2 linked regions of the Nothobranchius furzeri genome follow. The protein of the gene in region 1 interacts with the protein of each later gene in a biochemical or structural test. Links are inferred from orthologs where the notes say so. Each region holds a gene or a part of one and is shown on either strand. Other genes may lie near its edges.

Region 1 (5,315 bases):
TATGGTCACCCTAATCATGACACATGAATTACAACAAATTATTTTGCAGGCAGTGGATGGTGACTGGTAGCTAACCAGCAGCAGAAAGCAGTTCAATAAGCTGTTAAATGGGTGTTTTTCTGTAAAGCAGTATTTCCTGGACATGCTTTGATTGGATAAAACAGAGCTGTCTGTGATTGACTGTTGGAGAGGCTACTTGTTGAGGAGAGCAGGGAGAGATTTGCATCGCAGAGACAGAGTTGAGCCCACAGAGGGCTGTAGCTCCTGCACACAAGCGCAGAACAGGTTCTGTTTGTGCAGACTCATTACTGTACGCTCAAGTTGGTGGCACTAAGTCACTCAATGAACTGGCTGGCTGGTTAATCATGTCACTTCAGGGGAGTTTTCCGACCATTTTACTTGACATCAAAGCTTTTCATTATGGTTTGCGGCATGTAAACATGCTAGCGGAGTTAGCATTAGCATGTCGGTGCGGTAGCATTTTCCACTCTCGTCTGAACTATAACCTTGAAATGTTAACGGTGTGCTGCTGTTGCTGTCTTACCCTAATGTGATGTTGAGTGACTTACATGAGCGCTGAGCAGGGTTTGCTCATCGATATATAGGTTTTTCTGTATCGACCCGCCCCCTGACTTGTCAACAAAGCTGCGGGCTTAAGGAAGTGGAGGAAGTTCTTTCTTGATACTTCCTGTGTGCGACGGTGTAGTTCTATATTCATTAATTATTATTTCTGTTTCAGACTAAAAAACTCATGTACCAACTGCACGTGTCGTGATTGTGTTCAGCATGTAGATGTGAACAAATAAAAAAAAGTTAACTGAAAAAAATAAAATAAACCAAAATGATAGGGGGGCTTGTGATTATTTTAGGGGGGCTGAAGCCCCCCTAAAACGGACCTAACGACGTCAGCGGTAGCCAGGAAAATGTCATTAAAAACGTTATCAGTGCAGTGCGCCTCCGCCAGACCTCTCTTTATGACACTAAACCAAACGTTTATTTAGAAATAATATTATGAAGCTCAAACCGTAACATTTTTTCTGTAATAATTCTCCTCAGCAGGAGTTTGAGCGATTTGACTAAAATCGTTCCAACAGCAACTCTAACTGCGATTTTCACCTAAAACTGGTTATTTTAAAACTTTTAAACTAAAACAGTGAAACAGCAGGACAGAAACAAAAAATAAACACGAGATTAGAAAAATAAAAACGATTCTAGATCAAAGTAAAAAAAATAAACAATGAATATTTAGCAACCTATCAGAGAAAAGATAAAATAGGTGCAGATTTCCATTGTTTTAGAGCCTGTTAAGTGAAACGGAATCAAAAAGGAGTGAGGTTTTAGGTAAGAATGAACGGGTGGAAATATAGTCAGGCAACAAAATCGGATGAAAGCGTTAAAGCTTTGGTTTAAAGTTGATCAGCCAAACAGTGAAGACAGCAAAATAAACCAGAACAAATCAGATCGATTCCACAAAAAGACAGATAATGTTTTATCATTTTAAACATTTTAAACATAAAGTCAAAGCAAACAGGAAAAAGCTTTGATTACAAATCTTTATTATTCTGTCCTTTTTTTTATCAGAAAGACTCTTGGTGCAGAGCGTGAGGCAGCCTGCAGGGGGAGACTCGTTCCTGTACTTCTCTTTTATTTCTATAGACTTTTTAAATTCGCACACAGTAAAAAGAAAAAGCTGAATTTTAACTCGGTTTGCTTTAAATCTTGATTTTAGAAGCAAAAAAGTCAGATTTTTTTTAGATTTGCTTCATAATTTTTGGGAAACAACATCAGAGTTATTATTTAAATTCGGCGTGCTGATCAGAGAACAACAACAGTCAAATATATTTAGTAGCTCCGCTGAAGCTGACAGGAACTCGGAGGTTCTGGTCCAGGACCTGGAGAACCCGTTCGTGTCAGTGTGACGTTTGTAGGGGGAGGGGGGCTGCTGTGATTTAAGCCCCAGCCACCCGGACGTTTGTTATCACTCTGAGGGAGTCTGGCACCGGAGGACCGCGCTGCACCGGGAAACGCGCTGTGGAAACTACAACTCCCTCTAAGGTGGATTTTACGCAGCGGGACGCATGGCGCAGACCGGCACAGCGGGATAACGCCTTTACCGACTCTCGCTGACTTTAGCAACAAACAGCAGGACCCCTCTGGTGTGGAGTGACCGATCCGTGGCCGGCAGTGCCTCCTCTCCGCGCTGTGCGCCCTCCGTGTCCGTGCGTCGCTCTCCAGGACCAGAGACATGGGATGCAGGAGCGCGCTCGGATGCTGCCTGTTCGCAGCGCTGTCCTGCTGCCTCCTCCGCGGCTGCAGGAGCAACATCACGGTGGCCGTGATGTTACCGGACGACCACCAGAAGTACCCGTGGGCTCTGCCGCGCGTCTTCCCGGCCATCCTCATGGCGCACGAAGACCTGGCCGGTAAACACAAGCTGCTGCTCGGCCGCACCATCCGGATCCTGAACTACAGCACGGAGGACCCCGCCGCGCGCACGTGCGCGGTGAGCCGGGCGCAGGTGCTGGCAGTGGACGCGAAGCTCTACGTGCGCCCGGATGTGTTCTTCGGACCGGGTTGCGTGTACCCGCTGGCCTCCGTGGCGCGCTTCGCGTCCCACTGGAAGTTGCCGCTGATCACCGCAGGAGGCCCCGCGCACGGCTTCGACGACCGGGTGGAGTACCGGACCATCGTGCGCAGCGGGCCCACCACCACCAAGATGGGGGACTTTGCCAACGCGCTGCACACGCACTTCAACTGGACGTCCCGGGCCGCGGTGGTCTTCTACGACCTGCGGCAGGACGACCGGCCGCACTACTTCCTGACCGAGGGCATCTTCTTCAACCTGGACCGGGAGATGAACGTGACGATCGAGGCCCGACCGTACACCGACGAGACCGACTACAAGGAGCTGATCGCGTTCATGCAGGAGAACGGGAGGAGTAAGTTCAGCAGAGCTCCACTTTCTCACCCTCAGAGCCCAAAGTTCAGCTGCTGATGGGCTTCTGTTGACGTCACCGGTTTAATATCACAACAGCAGAAACGGATCTGAGCTAAATAATAGATACTTAATAAATCCCTCCTCACCATGAAACGTTTCAGCTTAATAAAACCACCTGAAGCTGAAGCACTCTTTACTTGATGGTTTAAAAACACAAACATTCACTCAGAAACAAGGAGCTGGAGGATCCAGAAGGCCTCAGCTGGAATATTTGTGCTGATTTGTGGAAAAGTTGCAGACAGCTGCAGAGATGGTCTCAAACAGGCTCGTTTCTGCAGCACTTTTATGAAATCAGCTTTAAAACTTAGGTTTTCCCCCTAAATCTGAGGCTGATTTTGATATCCAGAGATAACTTGTGAGCACAGAAACCCAGAATGGAGGAAACATCTGGAGGGAATCACCTCTGGAAGCAGCTCAACGTCTCCATGCTTCCAGACAGCAGGCCCGGCAGCGTTCCGGTTCTCCTGACCCACTGTAACACGGAGAGGGGAATCAGCTGCTGCACAGAGCTGGAGGTCATATGAGCTGATGGGTTTGTCCGGGCTTGTCCTGCCTCGGCATTCCGCTCGGCTCTCCTTCATCCCAGCAGAATTCCTGCAGGCAGAAAAAGGCAGGAAACGTTCAGATGAAGCTAATTTTCGTGCAAAATTCACCCAAAACACATCTTAGTTTTCTGGTGAAGTTTGTTTTTCCTGGTTAGGAATGGCAGCAGAGTTTGTCAAAGGCTTGATTCCCAACAGACAGGAATGTTGTCCAGTTTTAAACTCACTGGAAAAAGAAAGAAAATGCCGGGCTCAAATGATGCACCAACTTTCTCTATAAATCTTTTTTTCAGGACATAACATCCAGATAAAGTCTGGAATTTTCTGTTATTTACACACAGCAGCAGAAATTCCCTCCTGGTGATCGAATTTGCAAACAAGCGCCCACGCTGCAGGGAACAGAAACACGGATTCAGAGGAAAATTCATTAATTTAGCTGCAGTAAAACCCGCTAAAATCAACTCTTCACTCATAAAAACTCATCTGGTCTGAATTTTAAAAAGTCTACATGATTTTACAACCCTCACACGTCTCAGAACATCCCATAATTTACCTTAAATGATAAGGTAACGTTGCCTGGTGCAGTGTTGCCTTTTTAAACACCACTGTTTCCCTGCTGCCACACCTGACTTAAATGAATGAGTGGTTAACGGGCATCTGCAGCACTTGATGTCCTCCTGAGGAGCCGACGTAATCCTGGTGTGCTGAAGCAGAGACATGGAAAACCTGAGGACCAGGGTTGGGAAACATTGGCCCAGTGAGGGAAGCAAAGTTTTTTATTAAACATTAAAATACCTTTTTGAAAACACAGAATAAACACATAAATACCAACAGCTGGATGGTTATTACATGTTTGTAACAGACTTGAACTAAAAATGGATCCGGCCGTTTTCCGTCAGGATTTGAATCCAAAGAAAATGAAAAATACCACCTTAGAAAATTCTTCCAGATGATTTTCCTTGTTTGTAGACAGAAAGCAGATTGGTGACTGAATTAGACCACGTTTACATTTAAACTCTCGATATCTGGATGTTCTTTTAAATTAAAGAGCAAGTCACCCCCAAATCAACTTTTTTTCTGACAAACTATATAAATGCGTGTCTGATCATGCTGCAGACTGCAGGAGCTTAATTACCAGGAGCATGCATGACTTTCCACTGGTGTAATTAAACAAGGCTTAATGCTACAACACAAAGATGTCGACTGGGACACTGAAACTATTTTATTTGAGCACAACGTTTAAACTGTTAAAGAGCAAGTCACCCCCAAAACAACTCATTTTCCCTGATAAACTATATAAATGCGTGTCTAATCGTGCTGCAGACAAGTGTAGTCAATAGTTTTGCACTTTAGTGCATTTGAGTTAAAATTTTGAGTTTCGAGCTCACCCGAAACTCTGGCTGAATAGGACCCACACCCACCCTCAATGTGTTTATGTAGAAGATCATCAGGGGGTCTTTTGTTCCCTCTTCGGGGGGAAACTCCCACGGGGTTTAAATCTGGGACTCTCCACCATTTGACCTTAGAACTGAAGAAGCCTCTCGGATGAGAGGTGAAACGTCTTCAAGCAACTCAAAGAAGTCCAGATGCTTTTCTTTCAAAGCTCATCAGACTACAATGACCTGGATGACTGAGAACCTTCACAGACAGTTAAAATTTTAATTTTCTGCCTAAAACTGTCAGTGTTGTGCCATTGTCAGGTAAAAACTCTGCACTGCATTTGAATTTAAATCTGCCATCGCTATTGGCTAAGAGGTACCCTAGAACGTTAGCTG
Region 2 (5,465 bases), on another chromosome or scaffold:
ACTGCTTACTCCCAACCATTAATCTACGAATACCATATTTGGTCATTTTAATGTCACCAGGAGCTTTGAGATAATAAAGAAATGCACTTAAAAGGCCAGTGATGCATTAGGTAGCACTCTTACCACCCGGTGACAAAGCTATGGGACTGTGATTGCTTTGCTGTGTGTATGAGCATCTTTGAGTTTTATACGTGTTTTTTTTCTAACTATTTCATTATTTTTGCAGGGTAGATCAAAAAATATCAAGCACTCCATTGATATTCCACCATCCAGTCATTGTGACTCCGATCCCACAAAGCCAGTGTGAAATGTTTAAAATGGAGCCATTCTAGTGAAAAATACACCCAGAAAATGTGTGTAAGTGCACATGGAGGTTCTTTTTATCAGTTTTTTTTACATTTACAATTATGAAAGACAAAAGAAAAAAATGTAACAAACAGAATCCATCTGATGTTTGCATTCATTTTCAAAATGTTACATAAATAAAAGTCATATTTATAAATATCTCTTTTTTATAAACATATAAATACTTTTAAACATAAATACATTTATGCAGGGGAAGATGAATTACTTGAATGTACAGCAGCAGCATTAATGTACAGCTTTTTGTGGTTAGTAGTTTTTACACCGTCATCCACAATGTAGCAGTATGCATCTATGTTTCTATCTGTAGACTGTTGTGTTTATGTTTATGTTTAGCTACCTGCATTTCCATCATAAATATATGGGGAGTTCCTTTTAAGAAAAAGATAAACGTCATTTTTGATCAAAATCATCAAAGTTATGACTGATATCACTGATGTCCGTAATGAAAACAAAATAATCTATTTTTGCAAATGAACTTGTCATGTACATACATACATATATATATATATATATATATAGTTTTCTTTCTTTGCAAGGACTTTGCAGCATTGTCATCTCAGTCTCTTAATGCTGGTTGTGGTCACTTCCGTACCAAAAATCTTGTCACTTGGATCTTTTTTCTCTTATTTATTTCTTTTCTGTTCTTTCAGGGGACGGCAAATTCGTCTTGCATCGTCCAAACCCATCGTCCAGAGATCTAGAAGAAAAACATAAAGGTTTAGACTGATTGTAAAAGGCACTCATCGTGTGAATTCTCATCCTTATTTAAGGAATTTCCAGTGTTTGCTCAGCGGTCTAATTACCGCTCTGATTTCTCACTTCACCATAATGCAAACTTTTGACCGATGAGGAACAGAGTCGCTTCCGTTAGTTACAAAAATCACACATCTGCATCATGGTTCCACAGTTCACCACGACCACAGAAAGGCCACAACCCTCAGGACTAATTGTGTGTCACCTATAGCGTCTGCATTACTTCACTGACCAACACAACCCCTTCCCTGTTTTGGGCCAAAACTCTTGGGTTGAGAAAATGGCTTTTCCAGAAAGATCCTGACCGCCGCAGGATGCTCTGTTTGCAGGAGACTGAATAAATTTCGGCTCCCTCCTCCTTGTCTCCTTTTCTTCCCAAAATGCGATGTATGAGGCCGTTTGGCACAACCGGGAGCAGTAATAAGAAATTGGACTTAAAGACTGCTCCCAGATCAGTTTGAGACGGGCTTTTCTATGAAGGGTTTCTACTTTTTGCTCATTGTGATTGCAGAAGTTTGACAAAGGTCAGTATGTGTGATCACTCAGATCCACTATGACATCTGATTTCTCCAACTCTTGAGTTTGATTGCTCAATAAGACTTAGTCATGATAATTGCTTCATCAGTGAGATGTGCCTCTGATATCTAAATTATACTTTAGTGTATCTTCTCCAGTGATAAGCATTAATGCTCTTTATTTTATAATTTTCTTTTTTTGCACATACTTCTTCTTTTCTGCAAATTTGACAAAAATCTTTTTTTTAAATGAGCATTCATTTTGGCTGAATTAATCTCTGCTGTGGCTCCTGTGTGTGATGTTACAGTGGCTCCATCTGGAGAAGCAGAAGGATGCGGATGTGATGTGAGCTCACCATCGCTGCGCTCTTTAGCATCCCATCCCGCTGAGGGTTCCTATCCGGTCCATCTTGTGTCCGAAGCAGCCACTCCGTGACGACGAGCCCGCCTTCTTGCTTCCCGACTTGTGCCTCCTAGTTGCGGGCTGGTCGTTAAGGAGACGAGCCCACATCCCTCTGGCCCGGGTGTCCATCCGTAAATCCCGCAGTAACCGCATCCTAGCGCGTACCGCGTCCACCCGCTTCTCCCTCTCCTCCGACTCCAGAAACTCCGCCAGCTCTTCACCCAACAAACTTCTAAGAGACTGGAAGATTAGAAGAAAATAGATAAACATTGGGTCCCTGGGGCAAAGAAGGCCGCGCAAAGGTATCGGTTTGGAATCGGATTCAGATCGCTCGGGTGCTTGTTTGAACAGAATTTCCTCAGAATGTGAGGTAGACCTCAACTTGGTGCAGAGCGCATTAGGCAGCAGGAGGAACGAAGAGCCCCGAGGGGTTCAGATGTGGTTCTAACCAGAAAAATAAGACAGCAAGAGACTCATAATAACACGCGTTTAGATTCAAACTTCAAAGAAATCCACAATGTTAAAACCCCGAAGGCTGATTTTTACCAAGTGACATTCCGCGTGGGCACCGTGCGCTCCGAGAACAATTACATGCTGGAAAACAGGTGCCTGCTCCTGGGTCCTCCACTCCAAAACGTGGCAATAACCCTTGCCTTCATAAAGCTCAACTCTAAGTGTAAAATTATGTATTGTATCTGTTTCATGGTTTCATCCGGTGTTGGTTCAGTTTTACGCACAAACCGGATCAGTTAATTAGGACTTGTTGCTGACATAATGCAAAAATAGTGTTCAACTCCATGTTTACAGGCTTGTGAGCTTTCTTATCATTAAACTGTGCTTACAAATGATTTAAACATTTTTATTTGCTTTTCTTTAGCGCTAATAATCTCAAACGAGTGAATGAAAGGTCACGAAAGGTTAAAACTGTCTCTGCGGGCTTTTAAACGAGGATAAAGGGAAACGAAGGAGATCTGAGTAGAAGGTTTAAGGCTTTTAATATGGAAATGAATCTTTTTCTGAACGTGTAAACGAAACTAAAAGGATGAAACGTGACGCGTAAAATAACAGACCCGAGCGCGTCAGGAAACAGCTGTTCTCCCCTGAAACTGCTTCCAACATCCGAGAGTGCAAATCCTCATGGGGATACAAGTGGCTTACCTTCTGCTGCGCTTGACTTAAAGGTTTTGCTCCCATCCTTTCTGAAAGCAAGGTGACCAAAAGTCCACAAGCCACCAAGTAGGACCAGTTCATGTTGACAAGTGTCGCCCTGTCTCCAGGTTTCCTCTGACGGCAGCTTCAGTCAGACTGAGTTTGTCCTTCCCTCAGAAAGCTCCTCAGCTGCACTTCTGACTCCCAGCATTAGACCTCAGCGCTTTATAGCCAGCCCACGGTGATGTCATGACTACCTAATTGGCCTCTTTCTGGCCAATACTTTGTTTTCTTTACCTGCCTCCGTTCGCGTCACACCAGGGATTAATTCAATGATACAAGCTCCGGTCATCTGGGATTTACAGGAAATGATATTGACTATCATCTATCAAATAATAATAATAATAATAATAATAATAATAATAATAATAATAATGATAATAATGATAATAATAATAACCAGACTTTTAACTTTCAGACCGGCTGAAACTGGAGGTGCTTTCAAAGATTGCAAGACAGAGTGACTTTAGCAACACAGACACAACTAAGGAGATGCCAGCTGTTGAGACCTTATTTATTTGCATCCTAAATATGATTTGCATAATTGGTAACCATGAAGTGGAAAAACTCAGAGTGCCACTACAGTAGATGAGTCAAGCTGATCTGCAGGCTTCTCACCAATCCCACCGTGATTCGTTTAGCAAAATGTAGACTTTGTTGGAATAAAAGAATGAAAAAAAAGAAAGAATTAAACCACCTTTAAGGCAAAAATGAATAAAAAATAATGCAGCACATTAAGAGTCCTGAGCAATGACATCGTCCTGTTGATCTGACCTCTCCTAAAAGTTAAGAGATGATTGTAAAACAGAACAGAAGTTCTTGACAACATTGTCACGTTAACACATCAAACATGATTTTGTGGACAAGATGAGCCCTTTTCTCACGTCCAGTAACTAGAAATCAAAGATGATGCTGATTAAGACTCATGACACTTCATAGAAACTATGACTATAGCGTTAATTATCCAGTCGGTCCAGTGGTGCACTGTAATGTCACGGTGCAAAGGTGATTTCCTGCTTCAGGCTCACAGGTGAAGAGTTTCTACAGATGTGGAAAGGGTTTGGGATATTTTGCTGCTACAACAAAGGGGAAAAGGTGATCATGGTGAGAAGAGGAAGAACCACGGAGCTTATTCTCTTTTATGCATCTTTTGTGCATCTGAGCTGTTAAAATGGCTCTTTTTATAAACAGTAATTAGGATGGTATTCATGTAGCTTTATGATACTGACAGGATCAAAACAAGATGATCCCACATGAGATTTAACAAAAAAGAAAAAAATATTGAAACATTTTGTTGCAACTAATTATAGAAGAAATTGGACATTTTGCAATGAAACTTTGAGAATAAAAATGAAGTAGTGATAAAATGACTTGCAGTGCATGTTTTTTTCTTTTTTTTTTGTTGCAGTGTGAAGTCATTCTGCTGTCTGAGTGTCCCCCTAGAGGACAGACAGCTAAACTCTGGGACAGCAAGGTCTGTTTTGGAACACACAGTGGCAGCAATCACTGTTCTGCAAAGGAAATGATTCCTTCATTGTCACCAAGTTTAGTAAATCAATGCCAGTGTGTGTGTGTGTGTGTGTCCCAATTATTCAATGCATCACTCAAAAGTATCCCCTCGTTGTAGGCAACCATTAATGACTAAATTTCATCCACCCATTTCTTCTTTCCCACCTGCTTCGTCCCGTTGAGGCTGGGATTCATCCCTGAAGAAAAAGCAGGGAACGCCGTGAACTCCTCGGTTCACCACAGCGGTAACACACGTCCCAAACACACTCCTGCAGCCAATTTAGATGTTGTAATGACTCTCACATGCATGTCTTTAGGCACAGGGAGAACATGCAAACTGCACACAGAAAGGACACAAGATTTAAACCAGGTACAGGAAATTAAAGAGTCAAAAATTATGAACGTATCAAGATATCTGTGAGAGTAAAAGCATCTTCAAGTCAAATCAACTTTTGTTTCATACATTTTTAAAAGTTTTTACCTCATAAAACGTCCTTTCTTAATGGCTTCATGTAAAAAATGTCATTCATGTAACTGTTTCCCTTCCATGTAATTTAATAAAATTGTTTGCATCAAAAAGTAAGAACACATTTTATTTGTGTGGAACTCTTGTGTCATTTGAATCTGCATAAACTGCATTAAATAATAATAAAAAAATCACAATGAGATGCGTTTTTTTTTCTCTAGTTTTATTTGGGATTGAAATTATT

What was found. The genes of interacting proteins can lie anywhere in the genome.
Region 2: the proteins of npr2 (region 1) and nppc form a complex in vitro, tested with the Homo sapiens proteins (3 studies listed by BioGRID). The link is inferred for Nothobranchius furzeri from reciprocal best matches to the Homo sapiens genes NPR2 and NPPC.

The regions. Positions count from the first base shown.
Region 1 is NC_091746.1:73,579,217-73,584,531, forward strand, and holds the start of npr2 (atrial natriuretic peptide receptor 2), read left to right. Parts: upstream 1-2,111; 5' UTR 2,112-2,245; coding exon 2,246-2,939; intron 2,940-5,315. UniProt on the Homo sapiens protein: Receptor for the C-type natriuretic peptide NPPC/CNP hormone. Has guanylate cyclase activity upon binding of its ligand. May play a role in the regulation of skeletal growth.
Region 2 is NC_091748.1:62,956,966-62,962,430, forward strand, and holds the start of nppc (C-type natriuretic peptide), read right to left. Parts: upstream 3,403-5,465; 5' UTR 3,289-3,402; coding exon 3,196-3,288; intron 2,278-3,195; coding exon 2,005-2,277; 3' UTR 1,991-2,004; intron 1,064-1,990; 3' UTR 1-1,063.